Linked DNA regions of Styela clava. The protein of the gene in region 2 interacts with the protein of the main gene of each other region in a pairwise test. Links are inferred from orthologs where the notes say so. Each region holds a gene or a part of one and is shown on either strand. Other genes may lie near its edges.

The links.
Region 1: the proteins of dihydropyrimidine dehydrogenase [NADP(+)]-like (region 2) and Golgi-associated PDZ and coiled-coil motif-containing protein-like interact in a two-hybrid assay, tested with the Homo sapiens proteins (2 studies listed by BioGRID and IntAct). The link is inferred for Styela clava from reciprocal best matches to the Homo sapiens genes DPYD and GOPC.

The regions. Positions count from the first base shown.
Region 1 is NC_135257.1:14,746,843-14,754,433, forward strand, and holds the start of Golgi-associated PDZ and coiled-coil motif-containing protein-like, read right to left. Parts: upstream 3,121-7,591; 5' UTR 3,071-3,120; coding exon 2,852-3,070; intron 2,608-2,851; coding exon 2,440-2,607; intron 2,242-2,439; coding exon 2,066-2,241; intron 1,246-2,065; coding exon 1,092-1,245; intron 625-1,091; coding exon 529-624; intron 1-528.
Region 2 is NC_135257.1:11,297,709-11,305,910, forward strand, and holds the start of dihydropyrimidine dehydrogenase [NADP(+)]-like, read right to left. Parts: upstream 3,289-8,202; 5' UTR 3,200-3,288; coding exon 122-3,199; 3' UTR 1-121. Other genes in the region: tectonic-like complex member MKS1, read left to right, coding at 7,217-7,345.

The DNA.
Region 1 (7,591 bases), about 3.4 Mb from region 2:
ACTAGATGATATTATTACAGTTCATAGATTCCTAAAATATACCGATTGCAATACTACAGGAAAGAAAATAGTGCATCAGATCTTGAAACAACAACTGAATCAGATCCAAAACTCGAGTGGAAAGGTTAATAAAACAGCTGATAAATGTATTTCCTAATCACAGACCTCAAAGCTGCCCAAGTATGAGGCAAGTGTATGAATATTTGATGAAATATTGATTATACACATTGAATAGATACTTATTTTATCTGCAACATTGTAATCAGTGTTGCGAATAAAATAAATATTTTAAAAACATCCTATGTTACAGGGGTAACCTTACAGATTGAATCCATTTAATTTAAATCAAACTATACGAATACTTTTACACTGGAAAATGATTCATAACATTATATTGGATCGATGGATTCCTTACATATATCATGAATTACCTTTGAAAACAGAAATGTAAACTTTAAATTTTTTGCTGCCATGAATCTCAACTGAGAAATTCCCATGGATAAGCAAATAGAAAAATACTCCACTTACCGTAATTGATATTCCTAAACCCTCTTCAGGCCTTTTTTCAATTGTAACCTTTCTCACATGACCAACACCTTGGTTTTGTGGACCATCATTATTTATCTGTCAAAAAATATAGCAAGCGTAACTTTAAGTGAGCAAAAAATAAATAAACAAATGGACGTGAAGTTCTATCAGATTAAAACCATTTTCAAATTGCTCATCAAATTTTATTTGGACTCCAACTCTTGTTATAACCAAATTTGGGCCACTCTGATGTGGGAGACTTTATTAATTTCTGCTAAAAAATTTGATTACTCTTGGCAAAAAAAGTTTGAAAATATAACAGTCAACTTTTGCGTCATATATCATAACCAAGATTTCCACATATGTTCTCTTCTGGTATTACCCACGAACAGAGTGACATTTTCGGACATATATTGAATACCAACAATCAAAAATATTTGGCAAAAAAATCCACGCATGAAGCAATACAACAGCTTCTATAAATATGTTAGGATTTTGCACTAAGGTGCCATGTAACTTTCAATTTACAAAATATATTCCAAAGTGAAGCATTTCATTCTTACATGCTGTGGGGGTGAAGGTAGATTTCCATTTCCCCTGCAAGCTTTTATGACTGTTTTATGTCGATGTAAATGAATTTCAGCTTCTAACTGACTCCACATCTTTTCAAAATTATTTGTTTGTATATTTCTTCCCAAAAGTTGAATTTGTTGAATTCTGAATGTTTAAAAACAACAAAATATGAGAATGATCACATGATACATTTGTATCTTTCACCGATGCAATCATTTTCACAAATGTTGATGTATTTGCATTCCAGATGCACTTGTGGGTTAGTAACAGGTTTTTGAATATGAGATTACATATAATATTTTTATACGGCACTTATTCATGCCTTTCTCTCCGAACAAGACTTTATACAAGAAGCCACCGATATCTAGCAATATATAAGTAGCTTCTATTATTTGGAGAGACCGGAATCTTTCTGGTTTGGTATTAACGTAACTACCCAAATTATTACACCCTGGGTGAGTTGGGGGGACCATGGAATTTGAATCAGAGATGTGAAATCTGCGAGGTCAACACAGTATCTTAGTAAATCTAAGGCTTTAATTAACCGCAGAAAAAGGGCTAGCCCAGTAACACATATGAAGAAATTTAGAAAATAAATAAATCTAATTAATGTTGGTAAAACATTCAATATCCAACCAATTTACTATAAAAAATCGATGTTCAACAAAAAATATAAAGAAAGAATTTAGAGCAATATAAATAATAAAAATGGTGACCGTACATTTGAACCCACGTACATTTGAACCCATGCGTATATCCACTGGTTCAATCTATATGCGGGTGCTAAAACCCATGGGTTAGGGTTAGTATGGGTTTAACTATCCGTGAAACAAAAAAAATTCCATAGGTGCAATAGCATACAGGTGCAATTGTCATGGGTTCAAATGTACGTGGGTTCAAATGTAATGGAACCAATAAAAATATATAACAGAATTGTACATTCCTGTTTCTGGTGTCATATTACCTTCCTGCTAACTCTTTGTCAAGATATTTTGCAGCCAATCTTGCACCAAACAACTCTTTCTCCGACAATGCTAACCTTTCTTTGAGTTTCTCATTTTGAGTTTCATATAATTTCACAGTTTCTCCTAATAATGCTTGCTCTTTCGCATCTTTCTTAAAATTTCTTAATTCTTGTTCCTGGAGAATATTTATTTTAAGAAGTTAGAATGTTGAAAAGCAAAACAGATATAGATAAGAGATGTTTGTTGATTTTCAAAATAAATTGAACTAAACCAAAATGACATAAATGCTATACAATACTTAGTGCATAATGGGAATTGCTGTCAGTTCACAAAATCAGTTTTAATTTACAAAGATAGAAAAATAATACAATACCAGATTTTCTTTTATTTTTGTTGCATCCATTGGATCTGAAGTTGTTGTGCTGTGTAATTGAAGTTGAAGTGCGTGGATTTGACAAAGAAGTGTGTTTGATTCTGCTTTTAATGCCTCCACTTCTGCACGACAATCCAATAATTCAGTTCGATAGTGAATGAGTTCTGCCTAAATTTATTCAATTGCAGAATTGTGTTTTAGTCAAAGAAGATGACCACATGAGTACTCGAAAAGACAGAATAGACTACATGGGTACTCGAAAAGACAGAATAGAATCAATTAGATGCTCAATCCGAATTAAAGAATGGATGAGCAACCATGGTTTGCAACATGATTAAGTCATCTTATCAGCATTATTTCATGACCCTGTGGATAAAAATTCATATTAAATTATAATTTCCTTCCAACCTACCTCTAATTTTACATTCCTCTGAGCAGCACTTTGTGATTTGTGGCATAACTGAGAAAAACATGAACTGAGAGAACTCATCTTCTCTTTCGCTGTTTGCAAAATATCATCAACATCATCAAGTTCTGTATCACCGAGAAGTAGGTCAAGGTCCACATAAGCTCGATCAAACTCTTTCTCCAGTAAATCAAATGCTGATAAAAGTGATGCTGCACTAGTCATATTTATAAGTTAATGCAATCCAAGCCAACAAGCTGTAATCGATAAAAAGTGGATATTTTGGTAAAATACGGTACTTGCATCACTGAACCAGACAGCCTGATTGACGGACTGACGGACAACGCGACTACCTAGAGGCCTGGTGAGTTGTCCTTCTTTTGGCATTTTCTACGGTGGTGTTTTAGGTCTATAGAAATGCGTTTTTGATATTTTTAGTGCTCAAATGTTGAGAAAAAATACATAAATATGCTCTAGAAAGAATTTAGCGAAGTTAGACTGTTGACTTATAGGACTGAAGATATGACTGAAGCATATTTATGTATTTTTCTCAACATTTGAGCACTAAAAATATCAAAAAGCATTTCTATAGACCTAAAACACCACTGTAGAGGTAGAAAATGCCAAAAGACGGACAACTCACCAGGCCTCTAGGTAGTCGAGTTGTCTCTGGTGAGTTGTCCGTGTAGTCGAGTTGTCCGCCTCCCCTAAAGATCAGTGTACATCTTGCTGTCTTGTGGTTTTATAATTCAGTAATTACCGGTACGGTACCGTACCATCAGACCATACTGAACATATACTGATATATGAATACTATGGCTTAACCTTAACGTAACACAAAGATCGGGGCTCTGAAGGTATAGGCTAGCATAGGGCTACTCAACTGGCGGATCGCGGTCCGAATCCGGACCTTTTGACCATTCGATTTGGACCGCGTCCACTTGTTTATTTTGGCAGCACAAGCATAGTTATGAAGTGGCAAATTTTGTGCACCGCACGAAACAAAACTGTTCTCCAAATACTTTTATGAATTATTCTTAAAACATGGGTTTAATCCACAATCACGGCACAACCTATTTGTTCCAAGGTCAGACTCGATTTTACAAAAATCCATATTGTTTCAAGGTCCGGTTATTTGGAATGAAATTAGTCAGGAAATAAAAGACTGCAGGTATGCAGGCTTCGCCCGCAAACTTTTTAAAAACAAGTAACATACTCACACCATCGGTCACTGATGGTAGGAGGGCAAAAAACTACTGTGTTTTAACATATTCAATTGAGTTTTGTTTTTTTCTCTTCTGTGTTAATTCATTTTCAGTGTGTGTTACTTTAGCTCAATTTCGTTGACAAAATGATAATATTATATTTTTGTTGAAGGCTGTGGCCATTGAGGTGTATATAACCCTGAGGTTATATCACACCTGAACCTGAATGGCTGTGACTGACTCGATGGTCTCGCAACCTGTCGCACTTTAGTGCGAATGCCCAGTCTAACTAGTCAGGTATCCCTGTCCGCATGACGCAGAAAATTTTTGGAAACGATCGGGCCAGAGGAAAGGGGTCAAAACGGGGTTTTTGTGGCCCGAGGCTGTTCATTGGTCAATCAGCTGTCAATCAAGTCACGCTAGAGTGATTTAGGGGTTCAGAGGCCGTTTAGCTAAGTTTCCGGGGCCGGAAAGCGTTTGCCCGAGTATTAGGAATTTTTTTCCAAGTCTTTTTGGCGGTGGGGGCTGTGCCCCCACGCCCTCTGTGGTGAGAAAACTCGTGCAAAGCCACGCGCACTTAGGTTCTATTGTTTTTAGGGATTTCTGAGGCATGTGAATGGGGTTTTGGGCCAAGATTTGCCTAATTCTCAAAGAGTATAATTATTTGAAATTTTCTTTACTGAAAAATCGGTGTTTCCCCCTCCCAATCGCCCTCCAGTGGCGTAAGAAGGTTGCGCACTTAAAAATAGAGCTATTGAGAAATGAAATAGATAGGTATGGTTGGAAAAATTAGCTTAACATTGTTTTGAAGAAATTTTTGTTCTCTTACTCCCCAGTCACGCTTTAGTGATTTTGGCTTATTGCAGGCCTCTGAAAGGACATATTGAGAAAGTGAAAGCATGGGTATATTTGGAAAAATTATTTGAATCTATTTTGAAGGAATTTTTTTTCTCCAACTCCTCAGTCATGCTCCAGTGATTTTACGTTATATCTCGAGAATGGTAATAGGTAGAGATGCCATATTTGGGTCATACAAGTTAATTGAGGTCTAGTTTATGTCAAAAAAAATTCGTCACAGTTGAGTGATCACGGGCCCTAAAATTAATAAAACTTGATTCCCATTGGGGATGATCAGTTTCTAACCTAGTATTTAAACTATTTAATGGACTAAAAAGGTCGGGCGCAACGACCAGGGTCTTCCAACAAAATCAGAACAAACACCTACTTTTTACCTTACTAAACACATTTCTTTACATTTCCCCTCGCGGGTAGCGAAGCGACCGACCCCTGGATGACCTAACGGTCGCTTCGTTACAGCCTCGTCACAATGCCTTACAGTTAATTTTAAAATGTTGTATGTTAACTATTTGACATTGTTGACGAAATAAAATACTACTACTAGTTTCAGATGATTTTGATACTATTTACATACACAGGATGGAAAGATCCATAGGATGTTTCCCCGACCTTTGAGCCCAGCAAAATTCTCCCTATAGCCTACTTTACTATTGCAAAATTTTGGATGGGTACCTATTTTACGAGTGTTTCAGAGACTGTTTTACTTGCTCAAAACCATTGCTTTTATTGAAATATACAACCACGTGCCACTTACACGCTCTTTTGAGCATACCGGTCTATCGCAGCTTACCCGGGACTAATTTTTGATTGAGCTAACTCTTGACCCTCTTGAGTCTTGACTAATGACAATTAAGGATAGGATTTACATATTTATCCCGGGGGAGAGGAAAGCCGATAAGACGGCTTATCCATATGGCGAACCACGGCCTCTCGTCCGGTTACCATTCCAAGTCGGGTATGGGATTAGTTTTACTGTATTGTTTGTTTTTGGAAGCATGGATTTGGTGGTGGAGGAAGCCGTAACCGACCAGCGGTTACGTGAACCACCCAACGACGGCGAGGAGTCCAGCAATCCTCTCGCACATAACCATCCCTGCATGGGATTCGAACCTGCGAACCCACGCAGAGTAGTTAGAGGTGCGGTGGCGAGCGTAACGCTTAGCCCGTTGAGCCACACCGCCGCGCCTAAAAAAATTAAAATACTTCATTCACAACTAATTTTCAGATAACACGCGAATCCGCAAAAACGAGGATTGTTTACAGTCATGCTTGAATATCTGTCTAAGCGGCTTCAAAAAATTTAATTGTTACGTCATCGTTGACTTTTTGCTGATTGGCCATTGTTACGGAAATAATCAAGGAAAACGATGCTCGTGGAAATTCAATACAGTTTTCGTACTGGTACCGATGTGCGGCATTTGTATCCATATTTTGAGCCATTCATTGCCCTTGTACCTATTTAATTAAATAATGCATTTGAAGTTTCGTTTATTTAATGCAGAGTTTCCCAACCCGAGTCCGCGGTGTCAAATGAATTTACGGTTTGAGTCCGCAACGAGCCAGAAATTCATTGCGGGCCACAAACGTTTTTGCGAAACTTAAATATCAGCCAAGTTACGATTTACGTCAGAATTTACATAAAACATAAAAAGTAAGTTTATTGTCATAGCATTAATCGAGTCAATAATTCTGGTTACTGATATGACTAACATGTGACGCGACAGGTCACTTGCGCGTCGCTCAATCGAAATTAGATTTCCCAACTTACTTACCTGAGTGGTGTTTCTCGCGAGTTCGAACAACGAGGAATAAATTTTATTTCTGGTACATATCAATGGCGGCAACCCAAATTTTGTAAATTGAAAAGCGACAATACAAAATACTAAAAATAAACACCATAAGTTTTGTTTTATGATGGTCCGCGACCGATTAAAACGCTTTTTTATACATTGCAAATCGCAAAATTTCGGGTGCTACCGTAGTATACGTACCAGGGCATTTTCCCTTAGGATTCTTTGCTTTACTGCCTTCACATTGGTACGTACAGTACTGGAGCGCAGTAAGTGTTGTACGAACAGCTCAGATTTGTCGAATTCACAAAAATACGAATCAAAACAAAATATAATCGGGCACTTTAATAGGCATTTTTATGTCCACTGATTGTCATGGGATTTTCTGAGTAGTTAGTGTGGCGTAGTATGTGTACCAGGCTAGGGTTAGGCCGTAATTTTTTTTCCAATTTTCCTTTTTTTAGTTCTATAACGAGTTTGGGGACTAGCGTTACTGCTACTACGATATAACTTGATATTATCTCAACCCCAGTAGGGGTACCGGTACTAAACAACTTTGATCCTTGGACAAAATATGAAAACAGAAAGAAAAAGTAACCTAATGCAGTAATGCGTTCGTTTACAAGTTTATGACCCTGTCATAGTAATACAAAGGACTGTTTGAAAGATAATTTAAAAAAATAAACCTGTGTTAATTTACGGAAATTTTTTACCCACAATCCGAGTAGTGTTCACTTTCATAATTTTATATCCAACGATATATAGAAATGTTGTACATTGACGGGAATCACACAGCAGTTGCTTCTTTCCAAAATTATAAAGCATTGGCAATAGAAATATTATTATTATATACTTATGTATGTTAAATTTATTCATTTTTGAAATGTAGAAGA
Region 2 (8,202 bases):
ACTTTTTGAAATGTAACGGCCAATGGTGTACAACTAGTACAATTATTGTGAACAATGATCTTGTAGTGACATTTAAATGTACAAAAGTTGTAAATTGTGGATGCAATTTACTTGACTCAACCTAACTTAAAACTCCAACTGTAATTGGGATTCCTCTATTGGGAATGTAAGGAGTTTCTCGTTTCTCCATTTTTATACAATCGATAATAGGACATACACTTGCACAAAGTGTGCATCCTGTACAAGAGTCATTTACCGTTGGAAGATGAGTGACTGGATCAAACACAATTGCTTGATATCCTGAATCATTGCAAGCCATGTAACATTTTCCACAATTAATACACATTTCAGGGTCGATAACAGCAACAACTTGTTCTTTGTTGTTCAAATCATTGTATGCTCCAATCATTGGTAAAGCTGCACCGATTACATCACTAACTGACACTATTTTTCGCATGGGAATATTTAGGGATGCGGGAGTTGCTGATGTGTTACTGATATCTAAAGATTCTTTGGATTGCGCAACAACTGTTTGTCTTTCTTTTTTGAATGGACCAAAGTGAGGTAGATCTTTTCCGATCATGCTGGACATATTATAGGCCTTTTTTCCAAGCTGGTGTCTTGGTGTGACTGGTGACTGTCCATTCCAACTCTTATATTCTTCAGAGGATTGCATATATAGCAACGCTTTCAATCCATTCACATAATCTTGGATTAAAGTGAAATCTTGATTTTGGATTGCACTGCACACTTGAAGAACAGTTGCTCCAGCCTGGAGGTATTGCAAGCCAACCTCTGCAGAATCGATACCACCTGTTGCTAAAATAGGAAATCCAGGAAGGGCACGAGCAATTGCTGAAACAGCACGGAGGGCAATAGGACGTATTGCATTGCCTGACATTCCTCCATATGTTGTTTTCTTACTAGCTCCTACTCTGGGCCAAGCACTTCCATCTGAATGTAATCCCATCAGTCCAGATACCGTGTTTGTTGCTGTTACACCATCAGCACCTCCCTCCTTTGCAGCAGTAGCAATCGTAACGATATTTGTAACATTTGGTGTAAGTTTTGCAAAGAAAGGTAGCTTACTTGCAGCTCTCACCCACCTACATATATTCCTAACAAGTTCAGGATCTTGCCCACAAGCCAGCCCCATCCCTCGTTCTCCCATGCCATGGGGACAAGAAAGATTCAGCTCTAAGGCATCAGATCCAGCTTCCGTTGCTGCTTGAGCTAGTTCAGTCCAGTCTTCTTTGTTATAACCACACATGATACTTGCAATCAATATTTTTTCTGGGAAATCCTTCTTCAGTTCAGTTATACTTTGGCACCAATACTGACGACTTTTTTCACTAATGAGCTCAATGTTCAAAAACGATCCTTGTCCTGGACCATAAAGTTGACCGGATGTTGTTCCTCTAACAATACGAGGTGACACATTAGTCACAATATCTTTTTCTAGAGAAAATGTTTTTGTTAGAGCAAATCCCCAACCTTCTTCGAATGCACGTCGTATCATTGCAGATGTTGTCGTTGGAGGTGCACTTGCTAGTCCAAAGGGATTTGGAAATTTCATACCACACAGCTCTATGCTTACATCAACTTTATCTATTGCTGTAAAGAAATTTGGCAACCTTGGGACTTCTGATACACTTTGGCCATGGCAACTCTGAAGATATTTATGCATATACCAGGCTGCTGTTTTTCCATCATTTACTGCTTCCACTGTTGTATGTGCTTGGCCTGCAATATCACCACCGCAGAAAACCCATGGCTCACTTGAAACCATTGTGTTGGTATCAACTTCGGGAAAACCCCAAGAATTGAATTTAATCGGATCCAATGCATCTTGCACATCGGTATCTGTCAAAGAAGATCCAAATGCTGACAAGATATAATTTGCCTTCAACTTTGTTGTCTGCTCATAATCTTCTACCCAATTGCCATCATCATCTTGAGTGGTGCGCACGAATTCCATGCCTGTAATTTTGCCATTCTCACCTTGGAAGACTTTCAATGGAGACAGGAAAGGTAAAAATTCACATTTTTCTTCTCTAGCCAGCTCCATCTCTTCGGGCACAGCTCTAATATTTGTGAATCCTTTGCGGAAAACTACAAATACCCGGCGTGCTCCACACCTTAATGCTGAAGTGGCACAATCAAAAGCTGTATCCCCTGATCCAAGAACAATAACTACACCACCGATAAATGATGGAAGCTGAGTTTTACATGAGCACATACCAGGCTTTGAGCCTCGAGCAACTAAGGGAAGAAACTCTTTTGAGCTATAATATCCATTATCCCTCGTGAGATCTTTGAATACAGGGATTTTCTTTGGTTCGGGTAGTCCAATACCAACAAAGACACTTGTGTAGTTGTCTTTTTTCAATGATTTTAATGTAATTTCACCTGCTTTAAGAGCTTTTCCAGTTTCAACTTTAACTCCCAAATCTTTCATCAAATCAACTTCAAATGAAACAACATTATAAGGTAGTCGAAATTGAGGAATCTCAGATGTACTCAATCCTCCAATGTAGTCCATTTTTTCGAATATAGTGATATCTGAATATCCAAGTCTTGCTAGAAATGTAGCACAACTTATGCTTGCTGGTCCACAACCAATTAAAGCAATCTTTTGCTTGTAAGCTGGTTTCTGAATTTCATCCCCAATAGACGGGTCACGTATCTGTGGGATTCTCATATCACGAAATATCTCTGTTGCAAACTGCTGTAACCCGCCAATATTTATAGGACCTTCTTCCGAACCATACAGATTGCACCCACCAACACATAAATCACTTGTTGGGCATACCATTCCACAAGTGAGTCCGAGAGGATTATCGGAGAAAATCTGTTTAGCTGCACCATAGTAATTTTTATTTGCAATGCTAGTAATGAAAGACTTAATATCTAGCTGAGTGGGACAGCTCTTCTGACATGGTGCATCGGCGCATTTCAAGCATCTCGCCGCTTCCTTTAACGCTCCACGCTCACTCAAAGTCGTATGTTTGATATCGTCAAAATCGTTTTTCAATGGTTTACATGTGGAACAAGATTTGTCCGAATTTCTCTTCCAGTGCTTACGCGCTTTCTTTGTAGCAACAGTCGTTGTCAAGGTAGCATGATGTTTTGTCCGTGGATTCAACGCCAATATGTTTTCAATGTCAGGCAAATCTTTGCTTAGATTTACGTACGCCATTGCTAAAATTAGTGTAAAAGATAGTAAAGTAAAGATAAAACACACTTTGTAAATAAATGCGCTGAAGTCACTCCACTCAATTTAACTCCCATCAATAACGAGACTGAACAAACTAGCGCTCTGCTTTCACGGATGCGTGCAAGTAATTTGACTGGCAATCACGCTTAGCAATAATAACCCTGCTTTCAAACAATTCCCGGATATCCCGCCAAGCCTGAAGTGTCGTTAATCACAAGCTTAGTGAAGGCGCTGAATATGACGGGTATATTTATTACGCTATTTCTAACACCTGTGCCATCTGCAAGTTTCTGTTATTTTGCAAAGTTTGTACGTCCCTATATTGAAGAACACAGTTTCTTTATATATTTGAACAACGCCCGAATACCTCGATGCCCCGATTTTAACTAGACATATTCGGCGACATATATTTGTTATGTGCCGAATGAATGTTTACCTAAATCAACCAAATAAGATGTAGGAATGCACAGCGAATTAGCGGAAAGAATTAAAAATCGGGAAAAATTTTCCGTCGCATAGAAGGTTCCTAAAATTTAATGCTTCCACTGCAGATCCTATCCCAACACTGGTTATCTTACATTTGGCCACGACACAGTACCGTCGCTCGCGTTTCTTCCCTCTTTGCATACGATCATAAAACTTGAAAGTGTATGCTCGCGATCTTATACCAGACAAACAACCTTATGTGAAATCGTGCCCGTGAGCTTATCTATCTGCAAACTCGTATATTCCTTGTATATCTTGGAAATCAAAAACAGTGTTTACATATCAAACAACCCATAAAAAGCAAATACCGTATGAGTTCTACCAGCAACGTTCACTGCGATACTTATAATATATGCCATTCATTCGATTTCTAATCACGCTATCAATCAGTATAATTGCTATGTCAATCTATGACGCAGTGGTTATACTACATTTTGCAGTGTTTCAAACTTTACAGTTATATAATATCCAATACCGCGTTAAAATAACTATTGTAGAAGTGATATAGAGTTTTCTGAAGTCTAAAATCTAAACGACTGCTCACAGTACATACCCGCTCTGTGGTATCAACAACGGCGCATCTTATACTTATATATTCTGCATTTTATGTAACTAGCAATCTTACACCGTCTGTGGCCTAGACGCAACATCAAAACGCAATGTACTCGCGATAATGCGATCTGTCGTGTTTGTTTTCCTATCTCTGATCGTAGAGCATTGTCTACAAAATTACGAATACGTGACGTAAACCACGATTGCCATGATTCGTAGAAGTTCCCTTTTTCGCGTTTGTCGCGTCGAAAATAACAAAATATATATTTACCAAAACGGTTATAAAACGTTTAGTTACATAATACTGTTATGAAGCGCGAGTGGCGATTAGCGATAAAATGGAAACATATCGGAGCGACTTATTTTTGCAAAACCGATCACGCGTAACCTATCGTTAATTTTATATAAATAGTAAAATCGCAGTGCTTATCGTCGTTGCGTCAGGCATGCTGAATGGCTATATCCGCCAACGCCCATATTTATTCGAGAAGTTTCACAATTTGACTAGGTAAATAAAATTGATCACGCATTTATGATAGGGGTTACTAATGCAGCGAAATGAATTTTAATTATAATCTCACGTCCTAGAATGAATTTCATCCGATAGCGCAAAAATATAACCTTTTCCTCGAAAAATCGAACTCATTTCATACATAATCAAAACCACCCGCCATAATCTGCCGCGACGGTACTTATGAGCAAACTGGATGGGAAATATACCCTCGAGCCCAAAAATAATGTTTCGGTACTAAAGTAGGCTTAACTGAAATATCCCGATCAATTAATCATTGAATTTATCCTCTTTGGCAACCTCGCTGTTCTTTCGATTATAAACTGGAAACGTGTGACACGTGGTGTTAAGTCATTTTGGTCATATTTTTCGAATGTCTCGTAGTTAAATAAATGTATTGTATTGACGCATTACAATTTAAGGCCATGTTTTACAAGTTTTTTAATCTAGCAAACAACCTAAAATCTCAATCTAACAAATCTCGTTTTCAAATTACCGTCAACTGATCTATCATTATAAAACCATAATATACATTTGATCATTTCAAAATTCCCGTTTCTACTAATTTGCCTGTTAATGTATAACGCTTTCAAATTTATAATTTCAAACATATTTTGATCACACCCACCTTTCTACGACGTTGCGTCAATAACGCACGATCACATCCGCAAGTATTGCTGTCGACGACCTGAACGCAAACCTTATTATTCTTTTAATTACCGGATATTGATCTCCCTGCGTCCAGTCGACTCTTTTTAAGGCCTTCCGCACGCGTCGTTTATGTACAAATGGTTGAACTCATAATAGAAACAAGGACTAAGCTATAAACGGCACTTGATAATGCCAACAACGATTGTATTGTTGTTGTTGCAAAGCGCAATTGGTACATTTCCGACCACACTGTTTGCTCCGCTCGTATTTCTTACTAATTTTTCATGACAAATGAATAAAGTTACATCTAGTACGTTTGGCCAAACATGGGAAATGATCGAAACGCGTGTTTTAAAGAGCGGTCTTTCTACAATCCGTACCTGATACGAACAGCTACATCAAACTATTTGTTAATGTTGCTTCAACAGTCAAGAACTTTGCAATAAAGACATACTCGTTCCCTAAGATAACGATAAATTGTGTTAACGAAATCAGTGCAATGATGTAAAACTAAATGATACTCTAGAATAGCACAAGTAATTGAATAAATTTGATATCAGACTTTGATCATTTCTCGGAGATACAAATTATTCACCAGCGGAGTTTCTGTATTTTTTTTCTTCCGCCCAATTAGTATAGTACAACGTCGCACAATCGCGTTTTAGATTGCCTTGCACTGTGCCATGTCCTATAATCTCTAATGACCCTAAGATATAAAAATCATTAGACAATTATTTTTTCGGAGACGGAAGAACATACGGTACTTACAAATCCAATCCGTCTACTTTACCTGACCAATTAACCTTCAGAATATAATGCAAGTATATTTGCACTCGGCTTCCTGAACCTATATAATTTTATATTAGTCGTTTAATCATATTTGTCGAAGAACTGCCTTTTTCATGTTGTACCAATGAATATGACACCAGTTCAACTACGGGGCATCGACTAATCTGTGCTTCTCAGCAAAAATGTATTTCGGACTTAAACGTGATCGAACATAATTCAATATTGAGAATCAATAAATTCGAAAAACACGGTTCCACGCTTATATGTCACAGACAAAAAACACGTGTTCTGGACTCGTGTGTGACCTCATAAACATTTTTTGTAAATACTGATATCAATCTACAAACAACGATGAGATTGTGTTTGAGGGCAGCGTTTGCCGCACCGCTGATTACCCTGCCTAGGCAGGTTCGAATACCGTTGGGGGTGATGATGTCGGATTGCCGGACTCCTCGCTATCGTAGGGTGATTCACATAACAGCTGGTGAGTTTCGGATTCCCCGACCATCCAGTTGATGCAATTGGTTAACTATTTCCGACTGGTAACTGGACAAGAGGTCTTGATTCGCCCTATGAATAAGTTGTCTTATCGTCTTTCGTCTCCGCTTGTGATAAATATGAATATCCTTTTCTACTATTTTAATATTTTACTATACCTGCTATTGGATCTACACAAGCATCCTTTCTAAATTCAATATTGAAAACCAAACCAGACATCGAAGATATCAATATTGTCAAATCTAATACACCATCAATCATATAGGTATCAATTTATGAATTAATGAGTGCTTACATAACTTTATATTTCTGTACATCTTTATTAGGAAGTACTTTTCTCATTTGCCCAACTATAAAATATAATGATCTGCATGTGATCCATGCGATTGAAATACAGAGCATAATTTTGGGAAAGTTATTTCATTGCTCTAAATATGCCCAAAGAGGTTGTTGAAAATGAAAATTGCTTACATTATTGGAAATATTAATAAATATACGTTTAAACTCTACAGGGGCCAAGGTGCAAGAGGTTTGAAAATTGTGGTGAAAACTCCAAGTGATGAATTTCGACAAAACAATCATGTGATTACCACACCGACACATCGGATGCTCATCATGGCTGACCTCAGTCCTGAAGGGCAGTAAGTACTAATACACTTGTATCGTAACGATCCCATTTTCATTGTAGATTATGGATAGGATAGAATAGTTGTGTGATATTCTCTATGTCTATGGTATTTCACACCTGCACTCTAAACAAGGCTCTGTATACATAGTCATTAATACATAAGGAGCCACCCTTTTTTGAAGGACCCGAATCTTTTGTTTTATATTGCCCACCCAATTTAATTACATCCTTGGTAGTGGGCATGAGATTGGAACAAGTGGTGACCGAACCTGTTTTTGGGATGTCATGATAATTAGCGAATCCGTTTTCAGACGGTCATAGTAAATGATGTGAAAGTTCACCACAGCTGACAACTAGCGTTATATTTGACATTTCAAAGGTTACATATTGGATTAATGTAAAGTGTGTCATCTTATTGCAGTTTACGCAGTGACATACATATTCTTTTTAAAATGATGGTATCTGTTGTTAGCGAGTTTGATACAAAAGAGAACACATTCCAAATCCCATCACTGATCGTGAAAAAATGGGATTCACTTCCTTGGTTAACTTGGGACTCATACACTGCCAAATCGTTTTATATCTGTTGTTTCTTCTGCTCTAAATGTGGCTCAATGAAATACAATTAACGATATAATGTGATAAGTCAGTAATAGTTTATTATTAAAGCAAATAACTCAAACCGACATAGCACATGCTAAACATATCATCAAGGCAGACTGCCAGTATTTATACTGGTGACCAATGAGGCCCGCAATGAAATAATGACATGACAGTAATGATTACTGTAAACAAAAACATAAGATTAATAGGTAACTATTGAACTATCATAATGTACCCAATTTATTGCCCTCTGCTTGAAGTGGTGGA